Schizosaccharomyces pombe: one gene and its partner. Changing the gene in region 2 together with the main gene of any one other region gives a genetic interaction. Each region holds a gene or a part of one and is shown on either strand. Other genes may lie near its edges.

Region 1 (5,271 bases), on a different chromosome or scaffold from region 2:
ATAATATCCTATAGAGATATGAAAAGCGAACAGTACCGTAAAATAACTCACCTTGACTTATACATATTTTATTATCATTATCGGATGAAGAAACAATGGTTGCAATTCCTATATTGAAAAAATTAGCTACAAAAAAGTGTTCCTAGAAAGTTTCTTACCAGTATGAATAAACGTTGAATATAAATCGGGATGTAACAGCAGAGCGGGTGAGCCAGAGAATTCATAAAAACTAAGATCTTGCACTATTTTCGTTATTGATCTAATTGCTTCTTCAGAGGCGTCTTCTACTGGCAACAAAATATCTAACTAAGTTTTATTATTAGGATTAAGATATAAGCGGATCTACATACCTTTCCATTATATGCATTCTGTAAAATTTCGTGCTCAGTATAATTTTTTTGATATATCTCGTCCTTTAATTCTTTAGTAAAAGCACAGTTCATTTTAATCGTATCTTTTTATTCATAAACTTTTCAGAAAGAAACGCAAAACTATTCTTTCCATATAAAAAAAGACACAGCGCTTCTGACAAGTGTTCATGAATTAGCAGGGAGACTTTGATGATACACCCATCAGCTCATTGTTACTTCATCTTAGCTGTATTAGAAAATATCAGATCAACAAGCACAATATCAAATTCAATATAGATCGTCAATTATATTTAGGCAATTTTCAATTTTTTCAAGTGTAAATAAATTTATTCGTATATAATTTATGACTCTTATAAGTATATTGAAGTAATGAACTGAAGAAAATAATTAAATGTTTTCATTCGTTCTTTGTATTTCACTCAGTATCATTGAAAAAGTTATGCAGACGGTAATTCATAAATTAGTTCAAATCGATGAAAATAATACCGACATCTTCAGATTGGCTTGTAGCGAGATTATTTAATAAAAAACATATTTTTTTACAAACCATTTTCCTTTTAAAAATGCTTATCTATCTATTCCTTTTTATTTATTTTTTTTATTTTAAAAATAATATTTCGAAAAAGAGAATGAAAACAATAAATATATCCATGTAAAAAAAATACCAGGTTAATTATTTAAGTAATAATTTTAATTATTGAGTATAAAACATCACTCAGACAACGAAGAGAACATAAGTTAACAATGGTTCTTTTGTTGTAATTTTCATTTCAATAATTGAAGCTACAAAACCACCTTTTCTATATTTTCGTCAAACGCCATGCATTTTTTTTAAGGTCATTAATACGAAATTAAGAGAATTGTATAATTTAAAGCAGTCGCTTATGAGTTTTAAAACCTCACCTTATTTGAACATTAATTTCTCGTAATATATGGAACTAAATTTCAAGGTTTTGCTCTTTGCAAGCTTCTAAAAATTCATTGCAAACAATACGATCAGGGCAAACCTCCAAAGCAGTATGGTTTTCAGAATCCTTACGTAAAGTATCAGCTCCAGCACGCACCAATTCGACACCAACATCTGGATGTCCTTCTGCTAATGCGAAATGCAATGGTGTGAAGCCATATGAATCCGAAGTATTCAAGGGTGCGCGTTGAGAAATTAAGTATTTGACTACTTGAATCTTTCCAACAGCTGCGGCTCTATGCAATGGTGTTTGGCCTTGAAGATCCTTTTTCCTAATAAGTTCTGGGGCCTTATCACATAATAATTGAACAATAGAAAGACGACCTTTTCCAGCGGCATAATGCAAACATGTTTGACCACCGCGAGTCGTTATGGTTGGATCAACGTCGGAACGGTTTATTAGTTCTTCTATTACATTATCAGGTACTGAGCGATTATTTATAGAGATCATTAAAGGCGTCCATCCTGCCTCATCTTTTTCGTCCGGCTTGATATTGGGTTGCTTTAACAAGAAATAAATGGTATTAACTTTACCAACAGAGCAGGCCCAATGGAGAGGTGTACGTTTGTCCTAACAATATTTGTGATTAGTAAAAACAACATGAGTCATTTAGTAGCTTAGTTACACTTGTTATTCTTGTCAATGCATATTCATTTTCTTTTTCGAATTCACAATAGAATAACAATATTAATTATTAGTTTCACATACATCATCTACCGCATTAAGAGAATTCGGATCATTTTGAATTGCCTGCTCCACATATTCTTCTGGACAGTTTTCTTCGATTGCTTTACCTAAACTTGCATAAACCATTTTATGTAACGACTAGATATGATTTTGTTGTAGTTTTATATGCTTGTTCTGTGTTACTTCAGTGGAAAGACTGTCGCCATTTAATGACACAGAGAATTACGAAATACTTCATTATATCCATTTTTAACATAGCATCCTTTGTCTGCAGATTGCCAACATCAATGTATCATTACAAAAACTAATTATTGTTACTGTACGGATTGTTTATATTTCAATTCCTTAATAATTGTTATTTTAATACATATTATCTTGCTATACTATTTATCTTGGTCCGCTTGATAGAATTTGTAAGTACTGTTGGTCTCTTGCTTGTATATGTGCTCATTCCTTAAATCCTTTGTTTGTGAGGTTTTGCCTGTGTTTTGCAGTCATCAAAAGCTGTATATTTAAGCCATCTTCCAAACCGCCCAATTGAAATAAATTAGAATGTCTTAACGTACTAATTATTTCATAACTTTGAAGAACTATATTCTACTGGCCTCAGGAGTTTTACCAAAATCTGTTGTATGCAATATTTTCCTTAAACGATTTACAATTAGAATAATGTGGCCTGTAATAGAAATCAATCAATCGGTGTTTGTGTCCCACAATCTCTATTTGTAAACGATGGACGTGCTCTCCTCAAGAATATCAGTTTTTCTCCAGTCCAAAGGATTTGCATCACTCCAAATTTCCGAGTTTAATGAATCTTCAAACCAACCGTTCTTTATCAAATACTTCGATTTATTTTCTGGTTTTCTGGTTTTTGAGGTTCCCATTAAAGCCCGGCTAGTCTCTTCTATAGCGTAACTGTTAGTATTCGAGAAACCTGAGTAACTTTCGTCTTTTTTTTCATTGTTAAATAACTGGGGCGATTTCGTTTTACTGCTGAGAATTAGAGAATGATTTCCCTCATTATCATTGTGACCTGAAGATGAATTGTTAACATGAAAACCAACTTTTGGTTGACGTGAATTACTCTGTACAACACCTCCATATGCCTTATCTTGGGAACCCCTGTCCTTGAGGGCTCTCTTAATTGCTTTCTTCCTAAGCTTTTCTCCACCTTTTTTTAAATTATAATCGTTGAGAGCATTAAAAGAGAAGGAATTTGCCAGCCGCTCATAACTTACAGTCCTTTTATTTTTCGGAGAATTTTGATTTCTTTCCAAATTCGATGTCTTTAAATTCTTTATATTGATAGTTTCTCTTGCACATTTTGTTATAGGTCCATCATTCATCTTGTTTGTAGCGGTCAATTCATTGATTTCATGGTTTTCCATTGTGCAAGAATTGAGTGCATCGAGATTAGTTGGAAATTTAACTGATGTTTTGTGTTTGCGAAGGATATCGTTGTTTTCTTTTTGTGAAGACTTATTCATTACATCTTCTGTTTGCGTTTCCGCAGTGCCAAGTTTACTGATTTTTATTTTCTGCATCTGGTTGCCTTTTTTCGCTTTCGGTTTTATTCTCTCATAGTTGGGGGGTTCAGCTTTTCCCTTACAGCATGTATTAATGATTTTTTCTTTCACTGGACTATCCAATCGCTCATACTGCTCAGGAATATAATTTTGTTCGCCGTTTCCATTATCCTCTTCTGATTTTTTTTCACTTTCTCCCGAATCCAAAGATAAACTACTCTCATTTCGTTCACTTTCAATAGAATGTAAATTTGAATTTGCAAAATGAAGTCTTTGTTTTTCTAAATCAAAAGATGCATCCCCAAATTCCATGGGACTTGCGTTTTTTTTTGCAGATATCTCAGAATGATATAAAATATCGTTTTCTTCATTGATTGTATAGTCTTGGGCTGATTCTCGTACAAGTTTTAGCAATGAATTAATTTTTTTCTCCTTTGATATTGATATCTCCTTGTAACAATTGAAAATTTCGAGCTCTGTTTTTGCTTCATTCGAACTTTTAATGTGTTTGACATATATGTTTTCCTGCTTAGATAGTTGTGGTTTTAAATTGGATAAGTATTCAGTAATTGCTTTGGTCAGTTTTAGTAAAAGTTTTTGTTGACTCTCGTATTTCTCCAAAAAAACATCCACATATTCGTAAGTGTTATCTTCCATTTTTAAAAGGATTTTTTCAATTTGAGTGATTTCATCTTTAAAAATTCCTTTCCTCAGAATGTCGAACATATTTCTCGTATTCATTCGTTCTAGCAGGTCTCAGATATTTATTTATTTGAAGAAACTTTAAACAAATGTTTAAATGTTTCTTTATTAAGATTGATAGAAAATAAGAATTGAAATTATGTAGTGTTTATTTGTACGTTTATGTTAGTATTTATTTGGTGTATCAAATCTATTTTATTTACAATTTATAAACAACAGCACAAGTCAAAACAACAACTTTCAATAGAAAGCTTTACGTTTATAAAATGAAACATATTAGTTGTTCATGCATAATAAAAATACGTTTTATAGTCCAAATACAATTGTTTTTACAAAGCTTAAAAATAGCTTACCATTCTTGTCATCAGATACTAATTGATAGTTCTAAATTTAAAATTTTGTTTGATTGCTAAATACCGATGACCATGAAAAGTTATTTTCTTTAGAATCCTTGCTTTGTTATTATTTTTTTTATAATTACTCAAAAACTATTAACTTTATAACTGCGCAAATTAGTTGTTGTTACTGATATCCTCTTAGCTTATCGTTACCGCCTTAAACCGAACCGAACATTTGGGAAACTTACAGGTTGGTTAATACCAAAGTATTTGAATTAGTATCTTTAAATTTTTAAATTTTTATATATTTAAAGTGTGGTTCCAAATTTTGCAAAGCGCACTGCTTTCCATTAGCCAGTGTCGCAGTTCACTATGGACTCAAGACTAAATCGAATTCAGTCCAAGATGAAACTGTGGATAAAAGATAAAAATCTGAGCAATCCTTCTATACCACTTAAAGTGCTCAATAAATCGTTTAGGTCTAGTCGCCAGTCTTCAGTTTCAAATGGCCATGGATTGTATTCATTAGATAGAGACGAAACTGAATCTCTTATGTCCAGTCATGAAGCCAGCAATGCAGGTATATCGTTGGATTCTTCATTTAGGGTAATTCAGGTAGGGCAACCTGAACCGCAATACGGCAATAATGCTGTTACTAATACTAAGTATGATCTGTTTA
Region 2 (6,477 bases):
ACCGAATGGTGGGAGCATGATACGTTTTTATACCACACGACAAAAATGGAAACGTTTGTGATGTGAGCAAAGCTATGATGATGAACTTTGATGTATAGCTAATACTCCGATAACAAGCCGTCCCGTCCGTCGAGTAGGTAAGGTTTATTGGTTTATCTATTATATAATGTAATTTATTTTGCTAGATCTTTGCAAGGGACTACCTACGGATAGTTTTGACGGCTTCGCAGTTAACAAAAAACCGGATACGATTGGCTTAAAATTGCAAATTGTCCCAAATATGAATAAAATGTTGACAGCCATAAAGATTTCGCAACCGTGCGAAATTTTTTTTTTCTAAACACAAAATTATTGGAGAAGAATCCGTCATTTATCAATTACGAGTATATCGTCTTATCGTTATACGTGTTTTCGATTAAGTTAATCTAAAATTAAATTAAGCGATAATTAGGTTTTGTAGATTGAAACATTTGTTAACATGGGCACCGCTGACATTACTATAAAAAAAGACGAAAAAAAAACAATTGCCCATTGTTACCCATAATAGGAGGAATGAAATGAAAGTAAAGACAATTGAGAAAATTTATTCAATAGCTTATACAGCTATTTCAAGTCTCGGCCAGTAAGTTAAGCACTTGAAGTTATATTTAAACCGTCAGTTTACCAAACATTAATATGTTTGTTTCAATTCCCATTGATAAACTCAAATACGTGTATGACATTAATTATGCCTCTTTGTGCATACGGTTTTCTTACTATTATAAAAATAATTAGCACGCCCTTAACTAACAACTATTTAGGTTGATTTGAACTTGTAGAAAAAGCTTGTAAATATCGTGCTCGTCAACTAAACGAATATAACAAACCTTAGAAATCATCGCAGCATTCCACTCAAACACATACCCTAACCTAACTCGAAAACCAGTCACAAAAGTTTCGAGTCCCTTAGTGTTGTGAATGCTTAATACTTTCTGCCATCAACACGCACTGCACTCCTCGTCAAAATGAAGTACCTTGCAGCTTATTTACTCTTGACCGTTGGTGGAAAGGACTCCCCTTCCGCTTCTGATATCGAGTCTGTTTTGTCTACTGTCGGTATTGAAGCTGAATCTGAGCGCATTGAAACTTTGATCAACGAGCTTAACGGTAAGGATATCGACGAGCTCATCGCTGCTGGTAACGAGAAGCTTGCTACTGTCCCCACTGGTGGTGCTGCTTCTGCTGCTCCTGCCGCCGCTGCTGGCGGTGCTGCCCCTGCTGCTGAGGAGGCTGCTAAGGAGGAAGCCAAGGAAGAGGAGGAATCTGATGAAGACGTAAGTTAATTTTAGATAAGAAGCATTCTTTGTTTCTCAAAAGCATCTTACTAACAATTTTAGATGGGTTTCGGTCTTTTCGACTAAACCAAATGATCCCTTGTTTTCATTACGCTTTCATAAAAATAAATCGCCGTGTTGGTTTTATTTTACCAATTTTTTTTTAGTGCTCCATTCGTAATAGTATTTTTCGTTTGATAAATGTAATTTTAGCTTACTTTAAATGTTAATGTACCACTGGTGCCCCGTGTTGTTGATTTGAATATAAGAGACTTTACACTTGTAAAGCAAGTCGTTGTTTCGAGAATAATAAATTTTATTTAGTATGTTACTAGGAAGTCTTTACAAGCGGCCCATAATTTTTCTTCAAATGCTTTCAAATTGTTTTGAACATGAAGCATGCAATAGTCTTTACAAACCTCAAATATTTCTTTAATGTCATTTTCCACATTTGAACAAAATGTGGTCGAAGGATGACTTATTCTAACTGCTTGCTGTAGCCTTTGAGCCCTATCTAAAAGCCACAAAACAAAATCATCAAGGGAAATAGAATAGCGGCCCAAAATACAGTGGTGTAACCCTCCAAATGATGGTATATTCTTCAATAAAAATAACGAGTTATTGGTAGGTACAGTCTGCTGAGGTTGAGAGCTGGACGGGAACTCCATCTCCAAAGGTTTGTCATTAGGAAACATTAAATGCTTTACTTCCATAGCCACTTGCTTTCCCAAAAGCAGTAATTGATACTCATCAACCACATGAAGTGCATCCAAAAATTCATCAGCACTACTTTTCAGATATAAAGCGGCAAACGCACCATTGAAATTAGACTCATCAAGCATTCCTAGTTTAATATGATGTAAAAGATTGGACCAAGGAAAAGCGGTTTGTTTCCAACCACAGGACCATAAGTCCCTGGCCATTGCTAAATTTTTCATAAGCGATTTAGAGTTGCGAAGTCGTCCCATCCATTTTGAACCATCTGTTTCTTTTGTAGTGTGGTCGTTCTCACACCTTGGACAATAACAAGAAAAAAAATACTTTTTGAGAAGCTGTTTCTGTCTGATTGACTTTGGAAGTCGAATATCAATGTATGAGATGAAAAGCTGTTCATCTTTCTTAATATCACGTTTAGAAACAAGCTGCACAATTGCACCATCGAAAATTATTTGGCAATTTGGATCACAAGAATGATTTAAGCGACAGAGTATAGTATCTAAACACATACCCAAAGAATCGAAAGACGAAGTTACAAGATTCATAGCATTAACAGCTAGCCTACAGAAAAGTTTTTGAAACAGTTCTGCTTGATAAATTTGGGTATAATGTGAGGCTGCAGAAGCAATTAATTCTGCATCTGACCAACTGGAGGATACAGCTTGAAATTCGTTTTGGTGTCCTTCCATAGGTTCAATGATAGCAGGATTTTTTTGCCATAAGAGATACAATCGTATTAATAACCGACATACAGAAGGTAGTATACCGTTTTGCTTTGACGCTTGTAGTGCTTTGCATTCTAATTTGTGGAAAGGCCAGTCTGCTTTCTGACAACCCTAAAAAGCCTGTTAGTACTAAGTTAAAATGAGTAGTCGCTTTTCACGAACAAATTGAGTTTGTAATTGAAAGCTCGATAAGCAAATTCGCCAGATTGTAAATCTGTTTTACGAAAACATAATAGACTTGTTTACCTTGGAACAGTAATGAATTATTTTACATGCCGCGCAGCGTTGCGTTTTCACCTTCTCTTCCGTGCAAGTCGAGCAAGTGCGCGTCAGATTAGCAGAATCTAAGCTCAAAATATCAACCCTTTTCCGAATAATTATCTTTCCTAAAAGATTTAGTGGTTACTTCGCTTTTTGAGCATACCAATTGGGATATTATCTGTAGCAACGGTTCCTTTTCCAAACTCAGGTAAAATAACAGAGGCAATCAAAGGGGCGTCCATTATCAACAATTGCTATCAGGCTTCAGAGTAAAAATTCAAATCAAACATGAGAAGTGTGCTTCAATGGTTTCGAATACTTATATCTAATGGGTTTCTTGTTGCATAAGTCCGTTTCGACGACGAACATATTAACGAACTGAAAGGTTACATACGTAATTTAAAAAAAAGTATAAAATTGAATTTATCTATAGCAGATGTAAAAGTTATATAATTTGATTAAGTTTTTAAATGAGGAAGTTGCAATATTATCTGATTCCAAAGGTTTTCTGTAGCTGCAAAAGTTAAGCAGTAATGCTTTGCTAACAATTGCCATTCTTCCAACTCATCAAGCATTTCTATGCTCATCGTTCTTTTCTTTTCTTCTATGGGTATCCAGGTTTCTTCAATAGTTAAAAAATCTTCTGCAATTACTTCCGAGTATCCATAATCAAGAAACCTCATCCTTTGCTGCTCAGTTGTCTCATAACAATCGAGTGTTTTAAGAATCACTCCTCTTGCCTAAATTTTGTTAGTTCTTAATCTGTGAAATGATATGCAAGCATCGTACAGAAAGATTAGCCTTCATCATTTTTCCAAAGTTATCCATCCCCTGAATAGGTTCATAAACAACAATGCCAGAAGTTGCAAACATATTTTGAAACCACCGGCATAATGAACTAGCTTCTTCAGGTTCCAAATAACACAAACAACATTCTGACAGAACAATAGTCGGCAAAGAAAAATCTACAAACCCAGGAAATCCTTTATGGACTATTTCTCGAATATCGTAAGAATATATGTCCAAAGAGCCAGAAACTAAAGACCCTCCAGAAATGTCTTTTATGGTCAGCAAATTAATAATTTGTAAGTCAACTTTTCTAAAATTAGCTCACCCACAACATAATCCCCGATGTTTTGCTTTAACGCTTCATGCTTCTCAATTGTTCGAATTTTCCGTATACAATTTGGGTAAAAATCGAATTCAATAAATTTTAAATTTTCAGGTCCGTATTCAGACTTACTGTAGTTAGTAAAGACTGCATTTATCTTTTGTTTTAGCATAAGCATACAATATATCGAAATACTCGAGTATCAGTACCGGCTCCTAGTGAAATAATTTGTTTTTTACCATCAAAAGATTCTATGAATTTTTGAAGAATGTGGTCTATAGACCATGTTCTAACATAGGTTCCTCGATTTATGATAGGAGGTTTATGCGAATTTCGACTAGGACTAAAGAATTTTATAAAAGGATCATGAATATATCCGCTTTTTGTAGCACTCGATCTGCATTTCAAAGCATCCAAATCTGTTTCAGTAATGTCCATTTTAAGAATGCTTAATTCGTAACTTGTTTGGGTATAGTCAATTAATTTTAATAAGAGAAACGATTTTTTTTGTCAGTTTATTTATATTCAAAAAAATAAGACTGATTGATAATAGGCAAGAGAGCAAGAGGTGACGTTTTAAGGAAAGCGTGCACCACCTCAAGAGAACGGACATTCTGAAGCTAAACATCTTTTTATAAATTGAATAATACCGACAGCAGCATAAAACATCTAGACAAAATAATGCTTCCCGTTAGACGAATCTATCAATCTACAGCTCACGATATATTTTACTAGACGTTGCACCACAATGATCCAACAAGTCCGAAATAATCATTTTTATTGAAATGTTTGTATAAACACCCTATGTATAAACCGTGAAAAGCAAAAGCTTCTCATACATTACCACTTTTTAATGCTTGAATAAATTTTTGAAAAAATTGTTTGAATGATCTACTATCCAGATTTGATAAAGCTTGTAAATATTCAGAAGCCATTACGTCCGGAAAGTTGACGGTGGGAAAATACACCGTTACAAGATATGACTTGTATATATCACCTAGCTTTTCAAGTATTATTTTTTGTAATCCAGCCAGTTCCCCTAAAACTACCAAAGACTGACCATCACGGGTGTTAAAATTTGGGTTAACAGGCATTTCAAAACATAATGGTGTCAATGATAAAGTAAAATTTTCGAATCCAGCAATTCCATCCTTACCTCCCCATAAGGAAACCATTTTAGAAACTAAAGCGATAGAACTTTTTTGTGTAGCTGGCTCACCCACCAAGTTTGCAAAATGTAAGATACTGTTAATAAGTGGATCAAAGTAAACCTGATTTTCTTCAGTAAAGAGGATTGATCCAAACCCCTTGTTTAATAGTTGTAGTATAAATGAAATATATGATTTTCGTAAATCGTTTTGCTTGACAGCATCATCTGTTCCTTGTGGAGCGGCCGATAGAGAAGAAAAAATACGCATTAGTAATGTTGGAAGCATACGATTTGTAATCTCCATCATGTTATCTTTGTATATATGTATAAGTTGGCTAATGAATGAAAGAACATCAACCAGTTCATTCATATCGATAGAGTTTAAGAGTATGGAAATTAATTGTGGAACCTTTGGTAACATATCAGGTCCTACAACATTAATAATTCTCCCAGAAGTAAAGCGTACAGCTCCACGGATATCTTCATTAAATCCCATTCTGTCTAAAATCAAAAATATCTCATCTGATGCCTTATTGAAACTAGCAAGCCAAGCGACTTCCTCAGAACCACGGGCAGGAAATCCTTTAGCAAAATTACCGATAGCCATCAGCGAACAATAAACGGAAATAATGTTCTCTAAAGCCGACAAATCACTGGAAAGAGCAGCATTTGCTTTTCCGATAAGTGCATTTATAAGTGAATCACAGTAAAGAGCTTGTTCTTCTGGAGTTAAGTTACCTGAAGAAATTAAGACACCAACAGTCTCAAATAAATAGAGCTGAGAGTTAAAATCACTATTTCTTATGGAGGAATTTAATGTCGGTACTGGCGCATCCATATCAGTAACGGGAGAAACACTTATATTTAATAGATCACCAAGCATGGCGAGAGATGATTCAGTATAATTTACAACTTGTTTCTTAATGCTTTTAACAAATCGATAAAACAGATACCATGCTCTTGGACGAACACGTTCATTTGTGTTATGTATTCCTCTGGGCCCAACAAAGTATTCTATTAAAGCGGGAATAGCCGCAGATTCGTAATCGAAGAAACTAGCGTATCGTACTAATATTTCCATGTACAGAAGCTGAACTAACGGATGAGGATGTCGGCAAACTTGTGAAGTGGTAACTAATGCTAGTATTTGAGAAAGAACAGTCGGAGATTTATCAACTTCATTAAAAAATGCATCGGGAC

What was found.
Region 1: mutations in set6 (region 2) and nas6 together harm fitness less than expected from each alone (positive genetic interaction), as found in Schizosaccharomyces pombe (one large-scale study listed by BioGRID).

Annotation. Positions count from the first base shown.
Region 1 is NC_003424.3:2,335,056-2,340,326, reverse strand, and holds nas6 (gankyrin), read right to left. Parts: upstream 2,208-5,271; 5' UTR 2,153-2,207; coding exon 2,048-2,152; intron 1,910-2,047; coding exon 1,310-1,909; 3' UTR 1,015-1,309; downstream 1-1,014. Other genes in the region: rpp40 (Rnase P subunit), read right to left, coding at 52-108, 159-306, 351-443; protein mug68, read right to left, coding at 2,746-4,293; flippase Neo1, read left to right, coding at 4,965-5,271.
Region 2 is NC_003423.3:3,642,185-3,648,661, forward strand, and holds set6 (histone lysine methyltransferase Set6), read right to left. Parts: upstream 3,356-6,477; 5' UTR 3,259-3,355; coding exon 3,180-3,258; exon of another isoform or gene 3,142-3,179; coding exon 3,002-3,141; intron 2,867-3,001; coding exon 1,634-2,866; 3' UTR 1,609-1,633; downstream 1-1,608. Other genes in the region: rpp201 (ribosomal protein P2), read left to right, coding at 1,005-1,313, 1,377-1,400; leucine carboxyl methyltransferase Ppm1, read right to left, coding at 3,475-3,756, 3,806-4,074, 4,131-4,254, 4,308-4,565; karyopherin exportin-T Los1, read right to left, coding at 4,961-6,477.